Linked DNA regions of Canis lupus familiaris. The protein of the gene in region 1 interacts with the protein of each later gene in a pairwise test. Links are inferred from orthologs where the notes say so. Each region holds a gene or a part of one and is shown on either strand. Other genes may lie near its edges. The genes, in order: PITX1, MGAT5B and ZBTB32.

Region 1 (4,252 bases):
AGTAGAGCCTGAGGGTCACTAGGATAGGCCAGGCGACAGCCGCCGAAGGCTCTAACCACCAAAGGGCACAGCAGGAGCCGCCGGAACACCCGGAACACCCGGGCCTAAAGCTGAATCCTCCTCTCCGGTGGAGAGTGGTGGGACGGAGACAAAGTCTGAGCGCCGGTCTAAAGCTTTTGGAGGGCTGCGGCAGAGCCGGCCAGGAGCGGTCCGCACGGGTCCCCTTGGGCGCGCACGCTGGGCTCACCCTCACGCGCGGCTCCGTGAGGTTGGTCCACACAGCGATCTCCTCCCGCATGCTCATGTCGGGGTAGCGGTTCCTCTGGAACGTGGCCTCCAGCTCTTGCAACTGCTGGCTTGTGAAGTGCGTGCGTTGCCGCCGTTGCTTCTTTTTCTTGGCGGGGTCCTCCGCGCCACCGCAGCCTGCGCCTCCCGCACCGCTGTCCTCCGGCCCCTTGACTTCCCCGCCGCGCTCCTTCTCTGAATCGGGCAGGACAGGCCCTAGTCACCTTGGGTTTATGCCCTTTCGCACCCCGTCCCGGCTCCACCGAAGCGCCAGCCATCAGCGCTGGCGGCCCTTCCTCCCGCCAGGAACCCTAGTTTTGTTCCCGCTGGAAAGAGCCTGTCGGGTGCCTGATCCTCACTAGTCACCTTTGGTCGGACGGCCCCGAAGAGCCAGGGAACCCGAGGCTCCGGCCTAGGTTCCCCACTGGGCAGGGCCTGCCCTTGCAGCTCGGCTCAGGCTCAAGCCCTACTGCCTATGTCGCCCGCAAATGTATGAAATTTTGAGGGCTTTTAGGCATTTAAATCTGGGGGTGTCTCTGCTCTTCTGAACTGATATCAAATCTGGCTAGCCTGAAGCCAGTGGGTCGGTGGAGCAGGAGCCAGGCGGTAACCTGCAGCCCCTCTACTTTCTTCTCCCCAGGGCTGTGTGGGAGCCACATTGGGCAGGCACAACACAGCTGTGTTCTCAGCCTTAGCTCCAGGCCTCAAGTCCAGAGGCCCAGAAAAGCCCTCAGGCGGCAGCCCAGACCCACACACTCTGTCTAGGTGACCTGGGGCTCTAGCCTCTCGCTCTCTCAGGGTACACAAAACACATTCAGTCATAGACACATTGAAACAAACAAACAAAAAAATTAAAAACAAAATACAGAAGCCCAGATAAACTCAATTCTATCCCAACACCATGGAAAGGCTCACAAACTATTAAAAATAGGCAGGTAGGAACACAGAGCAAATGCAAATTAAGAAGCAAGAAACCTCCGTGCAAACAGACCCCTAACTAAATACAGTGCTGTACGCGTATAAACTCCAGGCAGACGCGGGCATTTATTTCTCCGGGATAAAAAAAAAAACAACTTAATGTACTGTTGTAGATAGATTTTTTTTTAGCCCCTTCCTAATAATGCCCTTCTAGGGATAGTCTTTAAGTCGCAGGGAAATACAACACTATAGTTAGATAAATTACCAAACTAACACTGCTGCAAATGGATTTTGAAAAAAAAAATCCCGGAGAAACGCGCCATTTTGGATTGACTTTTAAAAATCTCCAAGAATAATGCTGCATGTGGATGTTTTAAATTCCAGAGAAATATGCCTCGCGTAGTGATTCTTTCTATATCGAAAAACACAGTTAAAAAATTTAATATATCCTCACGGAGTTGGTTTTAAAAAGCAATCGCTCGCTGTATATTTCTCCAGATTTTAAAAAGTAAAAACCAACCAAAGGCCACGCTTCAAACTTTTGAAAACAAAAGTACAGTCCAGCGTGGATTGCTTTTCTTAGCCAAGCAAACAGAACCTCTCAGAGAAAGTCACTTAGAGATGCAAAACAGAAACAAATAGAGATTAAAAACGCGTAGAGAAACACTCAGCGGTGGATTAAGAAAAAAGCACAGCGGAGGCGCCCACGACCCGGGGAACAGGGCGCCCGGCGGGACGGGGAGCGCGGGATCCGAGCGGGAGACCCGGGGGCGCGAGCGGCCGAGGATCCGCCGCGCCACCGCCCGCACCGCCCACCCGCCGGCCCCGCTCGCGGCCAGCTTGCGGGGGAGCAGCCTGAGTTCGGGGGGCAAAACGGCGGCGCGGAGGGAGACGCGCCCCAGCCGAGCCGGGCCCTGGCCGGGCGGCCTGGCGGCTCCCGGGTCCCTCCACGAGGGGGGCCTGCCCGCCAGCTGAGCCGCACCTCTTGGCCCGCTCGCCCTCGCTGCCCTCTTTTTTTTTACTTGAGGTGGTCCCCCCTTCCCCGCAGTCTGTTTCTCTGACTTTTCCCGCCACCCCTTCTCTTGGATTTCTCCCTCTCCATCCGTGCCCACCGCCTGTCGGGGTGTGTGACCCCGTCTCCCTGCGCAGCGTCTCTCGCCCGCCGCCCCGTTCCTCTCTCCACCTACTGTCCTGCGGTCTGAGCGGCCCCCTGGGCACTCGTTGCGCAAACCGAATTCTTTTTCTTCCGGCTCCGTCTGCTCCCGATCAAGAGGGGCTGTCGGGCCGACCCTCCCGTGGTCGGTGCCTGCATCTGCCGGGGTCTGGGCGCGTGGGCACCGGCTGGGAGCAGAGCACGGAATTCCGTCTCATCAAGCGCGCAGATTTCCGCGCTCCCGGTCCGACGGAGGCCGGGAGAAGAGGTCCCGGAGCTCGCGGGGCTCGGGCAACCTGAGCGTGCGGCGCGGGCGCCAGGCCCCGCTCCCCGCCCCGCGCCGGGCCGAGCCGCGCTTACCTGGCAGCTCCGTGTCGGACGACTCGCTGGCGGAGTTCTCGAGCGGCTCGCGGGGGTCGGCGGCGCGGGCCAGGTGGAAGGCCGGCCCCATGTCGTGCGGCGGCGGCGGCGGCCGGAGCCCCTCCGGCAGCCGCTCCAGGCTCATGCCCCCCTTGAAGGCGTCCATGGAGGCGGGGACCGCGGCGGGCGCTCCCGGGGCCGGGGCCGGGGCCGGGGCCGGGGCCGGGGCCGGGGCCGGGCGCGCCCGGCCGCCCTGGCTGCGACCTGCGGGGACAAGAGCACAGCGCCTAAGCGGCTGCCCCCCAGGGCTGCCCGGGCCCGCAGCGACGCCGCGCCCGCCCCATGGACCGCCCGGGGCTGCGGGGCCGGGCGGGCGGCGGCGGCAGCGGTTTCTCGCGACCGGATCCCCGGCTTCGCGCTCCGCGCTGCGCTCCCGCCGCTCGGGCCTCTGCCGCCCGCCCGGCCCCGGCTCCGGCTCCCGATCCGGGGCCGGTTTCTAAGGCTCCGTACGGCGCCGGCAGAGGCTGTCTTAAAGCGACAGCGCGCACCGCCAGGTTCCAGCAGTCCCTGCGCCAGGGGTGGTGGGTGGGGTGGGCCCGGGTGGGAGGGGGCTGGGGAGGGGGGAGGGAGGGAGGGAAGGAGGGAGGGAGGGAGGGAGGGAGCCGGCGAGCGAGGGAGCGCGGGCGGAATCCGGCCCCGAGCCGCCCGCCCTCCCCCGGCCGTGCCCTCCCCCTCCCCCTCCCGTCCCCTCCCGTCCCCCTCCCCCGCCGCAGCCACCTTCCCGCCGCCTCCCGCCCCCTCCCCCCACCCCCCGCGGCCTCGCCGCGCCGCGCCGCTCCCTCCTTCCCCGTTGACACACCGACTTCTCCCTCGGCCGCACAAAAGAAACGCATCTGGTCTCCAAGTCCCGCGCGGCTCGTGCCCACCTCCAGCCCCAGATGACTTGTTTTGCGCAGAATCAACTCCTGTCTGGGCCGCCTCGAAGTCCTCAGCCCCCGGCGAGAACAGCCCAGGACGAGAGAATGTTCCCGGGGCAGGATCGCACGGAGCGGGCGCCTCCGAGCCAGCGCCAGGGCGGGGGCAGAGCCCGGGGCCCGTTCCGGCAGCTCCCGGCGGCGTCCCCGTCGGGGGGCCGCTGGCCCCTCCTTCCTCGGCCTCTTCTCCCGGGACCTGAGCCCGGCTGAGTGACAGCAGCCTGCGTTCTAATGGGCCCCCGGATGCTGCCTCCTAATTAGCTTGGACCCTGTCGTCCAAGGCTGCTTCTCTGGCCTCCCCCTCTGCACCGCAGTCAATTTTCCGGGATTGGGATTGAACTGATGGCTTCTAATCAGACGAAACGTTTCTGTTGGCTCCAGGCCTCTGGCGAGTGCAGCAGGAGACCCCGAGAGCCCCGCCAGGCCCCACAGCCTCTTCTGCAGGGCTCTCTTCCCTTGTTTTGCACCAGTCCAGCCGAATCAGCCAGGCCCCGGCCTTGGCAGCCAGGGGGTTGGCTTCTGCCCCCTTCAGGGCAGGTTTGTAGCGATCTGGGGCCTCCTC
Region 2 (3,236 bases), on another chromosome or scaffold:
GCAGCTCGCTGAAGGGGGGGGCCCGGCGCCGTCCAGTGGGGGAGGGCTGAGAACCCACAGCCTTCCTGGGGTCCGCTTCTTCTCTTCCTACCAGCCGGTGCCCCCACACCCTCCGCCTCCACCCCACCTGAGTTCAAAGCCTGCCAGGATCCAGAAGTAGGCTCCTACACAAAGAACTCTTAAAACCCAACAGTAAGCGACACCTGGGTGGCTTCTGCCTTCGGCTCAGGGCATGATCCTGGGGTCCTGGGATCGAGTCCCACATCGGGCTCCTTGCATGGAGCGTGTTCCTCCCTCTGCCTGTGTCTCTGCCTCTCTCTCTGGGTGTCTCTCATAAATATATAAATAAAATATTTTAAAAAATAATAATGGGAATATAACAGTACCTACCTGATGAGACAGCTGAACAACAAAAAATGACAAATTGTGTGGCCAACACTCTGCCCCGTGTCTGAAGGACGGCAAAGACCCAGTAAGCGTTAGCTAGTATTTCTCATGATCTGCCTCAGGCTCTTATCAAAATACATGTTTACTCTCTGACCTCCCAGAGGCCAGGCCGAGGTGAACAGAGCCGGGTGCAGAGTCTCAGTGCGGCGCAGCCTGACCCAGAGAGCGCCAGCTCTGGGGCCCCAAGCACCCTGTGTGCAGCAAGTGACAAGGGGCAGCAGGGGCCTGGGGCCCCAACATAGCCAGGCCCTCGCCCTGGGCATCCCAGGAAAAGACGAGAAACAGCACGCTCCTCCTCTGCACCTCACATCCCAATAAAATATTTATTATTTCAAGAAATAAATCTTTAAAAAAAGAGAGAGAGAGAAAAGAGTGTCTCTATTGCTTGCCCCCGACAGGTCAGGTCCCTGGTGGCCATGGAGCTCCTGTGGCCACAGGGGGGCGGTCTTGGATGGGCTCCCCCCCTCTCCCAGCTCTCAGGGCTCCCGGCAGGGTGGAGGGGCAGGCCTGGGTGGGGGCGGGAGGTGGGATTATAAAACGGGGGTGGGGTGGCAGTGTCTCTGAAGGCCCCACCGGCTTAACCAGGCAGGGCTCCGGGCAGGGGGAGGAGGGGAAGGGAACATCATGGGGCAGGGGCAGGCATGCCACACAGAGATGATGGGTGGGTCCAGAGGTGGTTTGAGGCTGGAGGAAGCTTGAGGCAAAGGACGGGCAGCATCGGAGGGGGGACTACCTGGGGGCAAGCAGGCCTGGGAAGCCAGGAGCTGGGCTGGGCATGCCACGAGGCTGAAGCTCCATCCCAAGCCTTTGCCTACAAGAGACGCTGGAGGGGAGGGGGTGTGCGGGTTCCCAAGCCTGCTGGGGTGGGGACAGAGGCTCTGGGGACAAATCCACGGCCTGGAATTGCAGTCATGCCAGGATGAGTTTCGGGAGAAGCCCAAAGTGGAGAGAGCTGGAGCAAGCAGGAGACAGAAAGAGTTCAACCCAGGGGGCTAGGTGGTCCCCACACTCTCGCTGTGCTCCCCAATATAGGACGGAGGGGGATTTTGCAAAGGCGGGGGGGGGCTGAGAGGAGGCAGGAACAGGGTACCCCGCCTGGCCTTCCCCCACTCCCTGGTCCTTTTGGTCCACGCCCCAAACAACCATAGAGGGATGAGGCTGACCCCTCACACGTCACTGCCCTCTCCCCAGACCCTTGGTGGGGGCGGGGGCGGGCGGGCACTGCCCCTGCTCCCTCCTCGTACATTCTGGAGCCCCATCCTGGGCCTACGAAGGGCCAGGGCGTCAGTCTGGTCCAGAACTCGGCTGGCACGGAAGCAAGGGGCCTCCGAGCACCTGCTCCTGCCGGGGCGGCCCTCTGACGGGTCCCACAGCCGCTTGGCCACGACGCTGCCACGAGCCCCGGGAGGAGGTCGAGGAGCCCGGCCGGGTGGGCGAAGGCCCGTAGCCCTGGGCCCGTGCCCTGTGCGAGTATCTGCTCTGCCCGCTTCCTGGCCAAGGAAGGAAGCTCCAGCGTGGGAGGAGTCGAGGGGAGGGCAGGGCGCTGGAGGTCAGAATCTGCTGGTGCTTTCTCCGCGGCAGGGAGGGCCGGACGGGTGGGTGCCCTCACAGACAGTCCTGGCACAGGGCCACTTGGCCCTTGCGGAAGTCTCGGCAGGGACAGAGCCGGTGGTACTTGGTGCTGGAGCCCGCGCAGCTGAAGAGCAGGGGCTCCTTCTGCAGGAAGCACTCGCGGCCGGGCTGGGCGAAGGCCGGGTACAGGTGGTTCATCTCCGACTCCGTGCTGTCACAGGGCACCCGCAGCCTGGACGGGCACCGCGGGCGGCGGTCACGGCCCCAGCCCGGCCCCGCCCGGCCCCAACCAGGGAAGATGATTCTAGGGGACAGCAGGACAAACCCCGGGCCGCATCCCCGCTGGGGGAGAGGGGGACGGGGGGTGGCTGGGCTGGGAGGAACCCTGGGCCGCTTTCCTGGCCTGGACCTAGGAGATGCCCAGACAGGCTCGACAGAGGCTGGGGGGGGGGGGGGGGGGGGGGCGGGGAGGGACTGGCAGCGGCTCCTGTGCTGGTGGTTTGGGGCCGAAGCTTCACCACGGTGCGGGGTGGGGGGGTGGGGGGGCACCCGTGACATGGACACCTGTCCGTGGTCCCTACTGGGTTCTTCCTGACTCGCAGGAGAGCATCAGCCCCCCTCCACCCGTTGGCAGGGCGGTGACGGGGCAGTTACGGGGCGAGGAGCTGCAGGGGAGCAAGGCTGGGTCAGCCCAGGAGGTGGGCGGGCGGGCGGGGGGCTCACTTACTTCTGGAAGGCGTCCTGGCTGTTGAGGAAGGGGAAGAAGGACGGCTCGCAAATCAGCCCATGGTCCAGGCAGGCGTCGGTGCAGGCCCTCCCGGCGGTGGCCAGCCAGGCCCGGAGGGAGTGTGCTGGGGGCCAGGCCCCGGGGGCCACGCTGGCATTCTGGGCCCACTCCAGGTGGGTGGCATTGGGGGCCAGGACGAAGGGGCTCTGTGGGGCTCGGGCCCCTCCTGGGGCAGGGCCGGGGGCTGCACAGAAGTCCTGGCCGGCGGGGAGTGGGGGGTGGGGGGGAAGCAGCATTAGACGGGGAAATGGGACCCAGATGCCACCGGCTGACACTTGGGCGCATGGCCTTGCCACCACAGCAGCCACACCACCTGGGGAGCTCCCTGAACGCCAGGCAGACTTCCACACGTTATGTCATTTATGCCTGGAGGCAGCCCCAGCAGAAGTGTCCTAACACGTCCCCCGCTATTTTATGGGGCTCAGAGAGG
Region 3 (4,252 bases), on another chromosome or scaffold:
TACCTCACCTAAGGATATTGTTTTAGAGACTGCTTCTTTAGAGGTTCCTCCAGGGCCATCTATCCCTCAGCCCTTAGGCTGGTGACACTGTAGGCCCTTCTCTCTCCCTACATTCTTGACTACATAGTTCAAGCCAGATCAATGCAAGAGCATTCAGCATTCAGCAGTGACAGCAGAAGTACAAGCAAGTAGCACTTTGACTTGGAAGGGTAGGGACACTGTAACTCTTTTCTATTCCTGAGAAGTCCCCCATCACAGTCTCAAAAACCTTGTCCACCTTCTACTTCCCAGGCTGACTGTAGGAATCACCTGCAGTTGTCTCCTGGGGTGGACTCAGGAAACCATTGATTCTGAGGACACAAACCTGCATCTTGGGAAGGTAGAGTGGATAGGAAAGACTAGATAGGGCATACCTGGAAGAAAGTATGTGGGAAAAAGAGTTGACTTTTGCCCCTCATTCCTAATACTCATATTACTGAATAAAGTTTAATGTCTGGTATTTTTTATTCTCATAGGCTTGACCAGAGCTCCTTCATATGCCCCTGCAGGTACAACTCAGCTTGATATAAAAATGTCAACGCAGCAATACAATTATGGATTCTCCTTAAATATAATTAAAACTAAGCCACAGAATAGGCTGATTAGCGGGGTGATTATTTGTTTTATGACAAATGTTCTCCCTTTATCTCACTTATTTCAGATACTACTTCCAAAGTCAAGTTTAAAAAGATTCAATTTAGAAAAATTATATGAACTTTCCACTTTTTTCAGGAATGCATCTCTTTCTTCAAATCAAAGTGGTTAAAGTCCCCACAGCATTTTATAATGCAGATGAAGACCAATTATCCAAATCTTACCTAAACTTTCAAATGCCCACTCTTTCTAGTGAAGTACATCCAACACATACCGATACATACCACGGAGTAAATTAGTTTCTTTCTTCCCCTCAATCTGTATTTCATATAACTTAAGAACCAGTGTAATTATAGCCAGGTGAGCTGCAGCTAGGTCATAGAGACCCTATCATAGCATATCTTTTGTGGATGAAGTGGAAAAAGAACTAGACTAGAAGTAAAACAATTTAGGTTCCACTACATCCTCTCTGTGGGTGGCCTTTCTTTTCAGTCCTAATACGGGGGCTAACTCTTCTAAGATCCTCAATTTCCTCACAGGGACTGCTTTCAAGAGCAATACTGAATGCCAATATTGTGTTAAACCTGCTCTGACCCCCTCTGGCTGTGGTCCCCCCTTGGGCCAAGGATCCCAAGAGCATCGAGGAAGGGCCCACTGGGAACATGTGTCCCCCAGTTCTAGGCCATGCTCTGGGAACTTGGAACCCTGGACTTCCTCACCCAAATGGCCTCCTTCCAGGACAGCCCTCAACCCTGGGTCTATATTCAGGAGGGTGAACTGTGAAACCGATACACACACCCCAGGCCCTAGTTGTGTGTGAGGAACAGGTAGACTGAGCTCAGACATGCAGACTAATCTATGAGATGCCTTGAAATGTGCACCAACACCAGGTGTGGGAAGAAAAGGGGAAATTTTCATTTTTAGTCTTGCCTCAGCCCCATGAATAATACAGGAACCAGCTTTATTCCAATGGCTCTTAACATAGGTTAAGGGGATCACCATCCCTTTTAAAATTGTAAGCCACAGAATCAACTCTTTACATCAGAAAATTGTGGATACTCATACAAGGGATTCACAGGCTGGAGTCAGTCCTTGGACAGGTTAGATACTCCTTGTTTATCCTTGTGGCTGCTTTGCATGCCCCCCCCCCAAATACAACATGCATATAGTTTTTCTTGTGATTTCCAGGAGCTCCAAAACCCTTAAATCCACTCATAGACCACTCCCCCTTGCACCCCCCTACCCAAGGTTTAAGAATTCTGGGTGTACATGAAAACACTCTGAAAGCTTCAATACCACATAGAACTTGTCCAGCTGAGTGAAATTAGATATCAACACCCTGTCCCATAAGAATTAAAAAAAAAAATCTTCCGTAATGACAAGCTGGGTGATTTCCTAAGGAGCAGGAAATCTCACACACCTCTTCCTGTGCTCTAGGACAAGATCCATCTTCCCTATGCATCTGGCTCCATTCTTACAGCCTGGTATCTTCTGAGAATGACCAGGGTTTCAGAAAGAGCAGACCAAAAGGCCCTAATATGACCCAATCCTGGTTTTTTTTAGAGCCACACGGCAATAATATTTCATGGAGGGCAAACAACCTGAGATTCAGAAACTCCCTCCTCAAGAACCTCCAGAAGACCTTGGGCCTAACCTCCTGGCCAAGTTGTCTATCCTGGACCTGATAGTGGAAAATCTGCACCTCAACCTAGAGTCCAGCGACCCCCAAAACCTTGCAGCTGCATGTTCTTAGCACAGCCTGGGTGCAATGGCTGTTGACAACTGCCCATTGGACTTCCAATCTCGACAACTCTCTCAGCCCAGGCTGGATCCAAAGACCCCAGAAAATCTCCCAAGAGCACACTAGTTTCATCTTTTGGCCAGTAATGCCCCGCCCCCCCCCCCCCCCATAACCTCTGGAGAGTCACAGGCCTCCCCTTCCAGTCACCACATCCAGACTCAGGCCAGAGACCTCAGGCAACCTGTCACCGATCAGAGGCCATACCTCACCGCCAACGAAGCCACGCAGAGCTCCAAGGGCCTCCCACGGCCACACAATACACTTCCAAATCAAGTCAGCCTCAGGGACTGTGGACCAACCCAGGGCATGTTGGCCTCTGCCCCAGCCCGGGTCCAAAGGTGCCTGCCCAGGAGGCCCCACTGCCATCCTTGCCAGGAAAAGGGAGTCCCCGGGGACTAGAGTCCTCAACTCTCGCTTCTCAACCCTCACGACGACCGCTCCGGCCCTCCCACCCCAGCTTGGCTTGGGCCAGTCCCAGGCCTGAAGAAGCGTAAGAGAAACCATGGCACTCACCGACTCGGGCCCTGTGCCTCCTCCCACAGTCACATACACCGAGGGCGGCTCTAGCTCGAGTGGCCGTTGGGGAGCGGCGAGTGGGGAGCGGCGCGAGGCCCGGAGCTCGAGGCCCTGCGCGTGCACAGCTCACGGGTCTCGCCTGGTTTCCGCCGCGGACGCCGATTGGCTGCCGCCGGCCGCCTCCTGCTGAGCATGCCCAGCATCCTCGGAGGCACCTCGGACAGCTCCCCGTGCTCCGCCCCCCCGCCCCCGCCCCCGCCCCGCTCCCCCCGCCGATTGGCTGCGGAGCTCCCTCCCGCCCCCCTGGCTCTGCCGAGGGGCGGGGCCTTGAGTCCGATGGGGATGGGTCGGTGGGCTTGGGTTTCAGGTCTCTGAGGCGGAGGTCTCACCCTCCAGCCTGTCCCCTCCCCTGCTGAGCGGCTGCGGAGTTTGCCCCTTCCCACCCTCTCTCTGGAAAGACTTGGCCCGGAACCTCCTTGGCCTCAATAGTCTTGGAAGCTGCCTCCGCAAGGGCTCAGGATTCAACGGCCTTCTTGCTTCTGTCTTGGCACCCTGACGAGCTCTGTTACACACCCTCTCACCTCTCTCTCAACCCCTGACAGTCTATGCAGTGTGTGTCTGTGATTGGTCGGGAGGCCCTCGAGAGTCGGCCAGGCTTCGGGGTGCCTGTGGGCAGCTCCCCTTTCCCGCCTCTTGTCCTGCCCACCACTGATTGGTTGCAGAACGCACCCCGCCTCACCTGGAAGTATGCGGGGACGAGGGAGGCGCAAGAGGGGGCAGTGCCTTGACCCGCGATTGGTCTAGATGCTCGCGCTTCAAATGCTCATTGCCTGTCAGCTGAGCCAGGGATAACTGCGTACTTCACGTACTAGCCACCCCCCCCCCCGCCACACACACACACACACACACACACACACACACACACACACACACGTGGAGAGGATGGCCCATTGCTCCGCCCCGCCATGAACCGGCCAGGGCTAAGAGCTCAGCCAGCTGGCTTCCCATTCATGCCGGGTTTGGTGCGGACAGGCGGCGAGCTCGCGGCGCGCGGGGCAGGGAGCAGCCCCCGAGCCGGGCTGCGGCGGCGCTGCTGATTGGCTGGCCGCTCTCTCTTCCAAGGGCTTTGGGTTCGCGCTCGGACACAACCAATGAGGAGCGAGGGCGCTTTAAGGAGGCGGGCGTTGCTCGACCGCTTCCACTTCTGATTGGCCCAGGGGCTTGCTTGATTGATCCGAAGGCCGGGAGGCGGGAGCCCAGGCCAACGGCTTCAAGCGGCGGTTGGCTTTCGCTCCCTGCGCT

Evidence for each region.
Region 2: the proteins of PITX1 (region 1) and MGAT5B interact in a two-hybrid assay, tested with the Homo sapiens proteins (2 studies listed by BioGRID). The link is inferred for Canis lupus familiaris from reciprocal best matches to the Homo sapiens genes PITX1 and MGAT5B.
Region 3: the proteins of PITX1 (region 1) and ZBTB32 interact in a two-hybrid assay, tested with the Homo sapiens proteins (2 studies listed by BioGRID). The link is inferred for Canis lupus familiaris from reciprocal best matches to the Homo sapiens genes PITX1 and ZBTB32.

The regions. Positions count from the first base shown.
Region 1 is NC_049232.1:23,086,620-23,090,871, forward strand, and holds the start of PITX1 (pituitary homeobox 1), read right to left. Parts: upstream 2,975-4,252; 5' UTR 2,883-2,974; coding exon 2,717-2,882; intron 481-2,716; coding exon 248-480; intron 1-247. UniProt on the Homo sapiens protein: Sequence-specific transcription factor that binds gene promoters and activates their transcription. May play a role in the development of anterior structures, and in particular, the brain and facies and in specifying the identity or structure of hindlimb.
Region 2 is NC_049230.1:4,783,768-4,787,003, forward strand, and holds the end of MGAT5B (alpha-1,6-mannosylglycoprotein 6-beta-N-acetylglucosaminyltransferase B), read right to left. Parts: intron 3,004-3,236; coding exon 2,747-3,003; intron 2,252-2,746; coding exon 2,053-2,251; 3' UTR 752-2,052; downstream 1-751. UniProt on the Homo sapiens protein: Glycosyltransferase that acts on alpha-linked mannose of N-glycans and O-mannosyl glycans.
Region 3 is NC_049222.1:117,766,162-117,770,413, forward strand, and holds the start of ZBTB32 (zinc finger and BTB domain-containing protein 32), read right to left. Parts: upstream 3,048-4,252; 5' UTR 2,948-3,047; intron 1-2,947. UniProt on the Homo sapiens protein: DNA-binding protein that binds to the to a 5'-TGTACAGTGT-3' core sequence. May function as a transcriptional transactivator and transcriptional repressor. Probably exerts its repressor effect by preventing GATA3 from binding to DNA.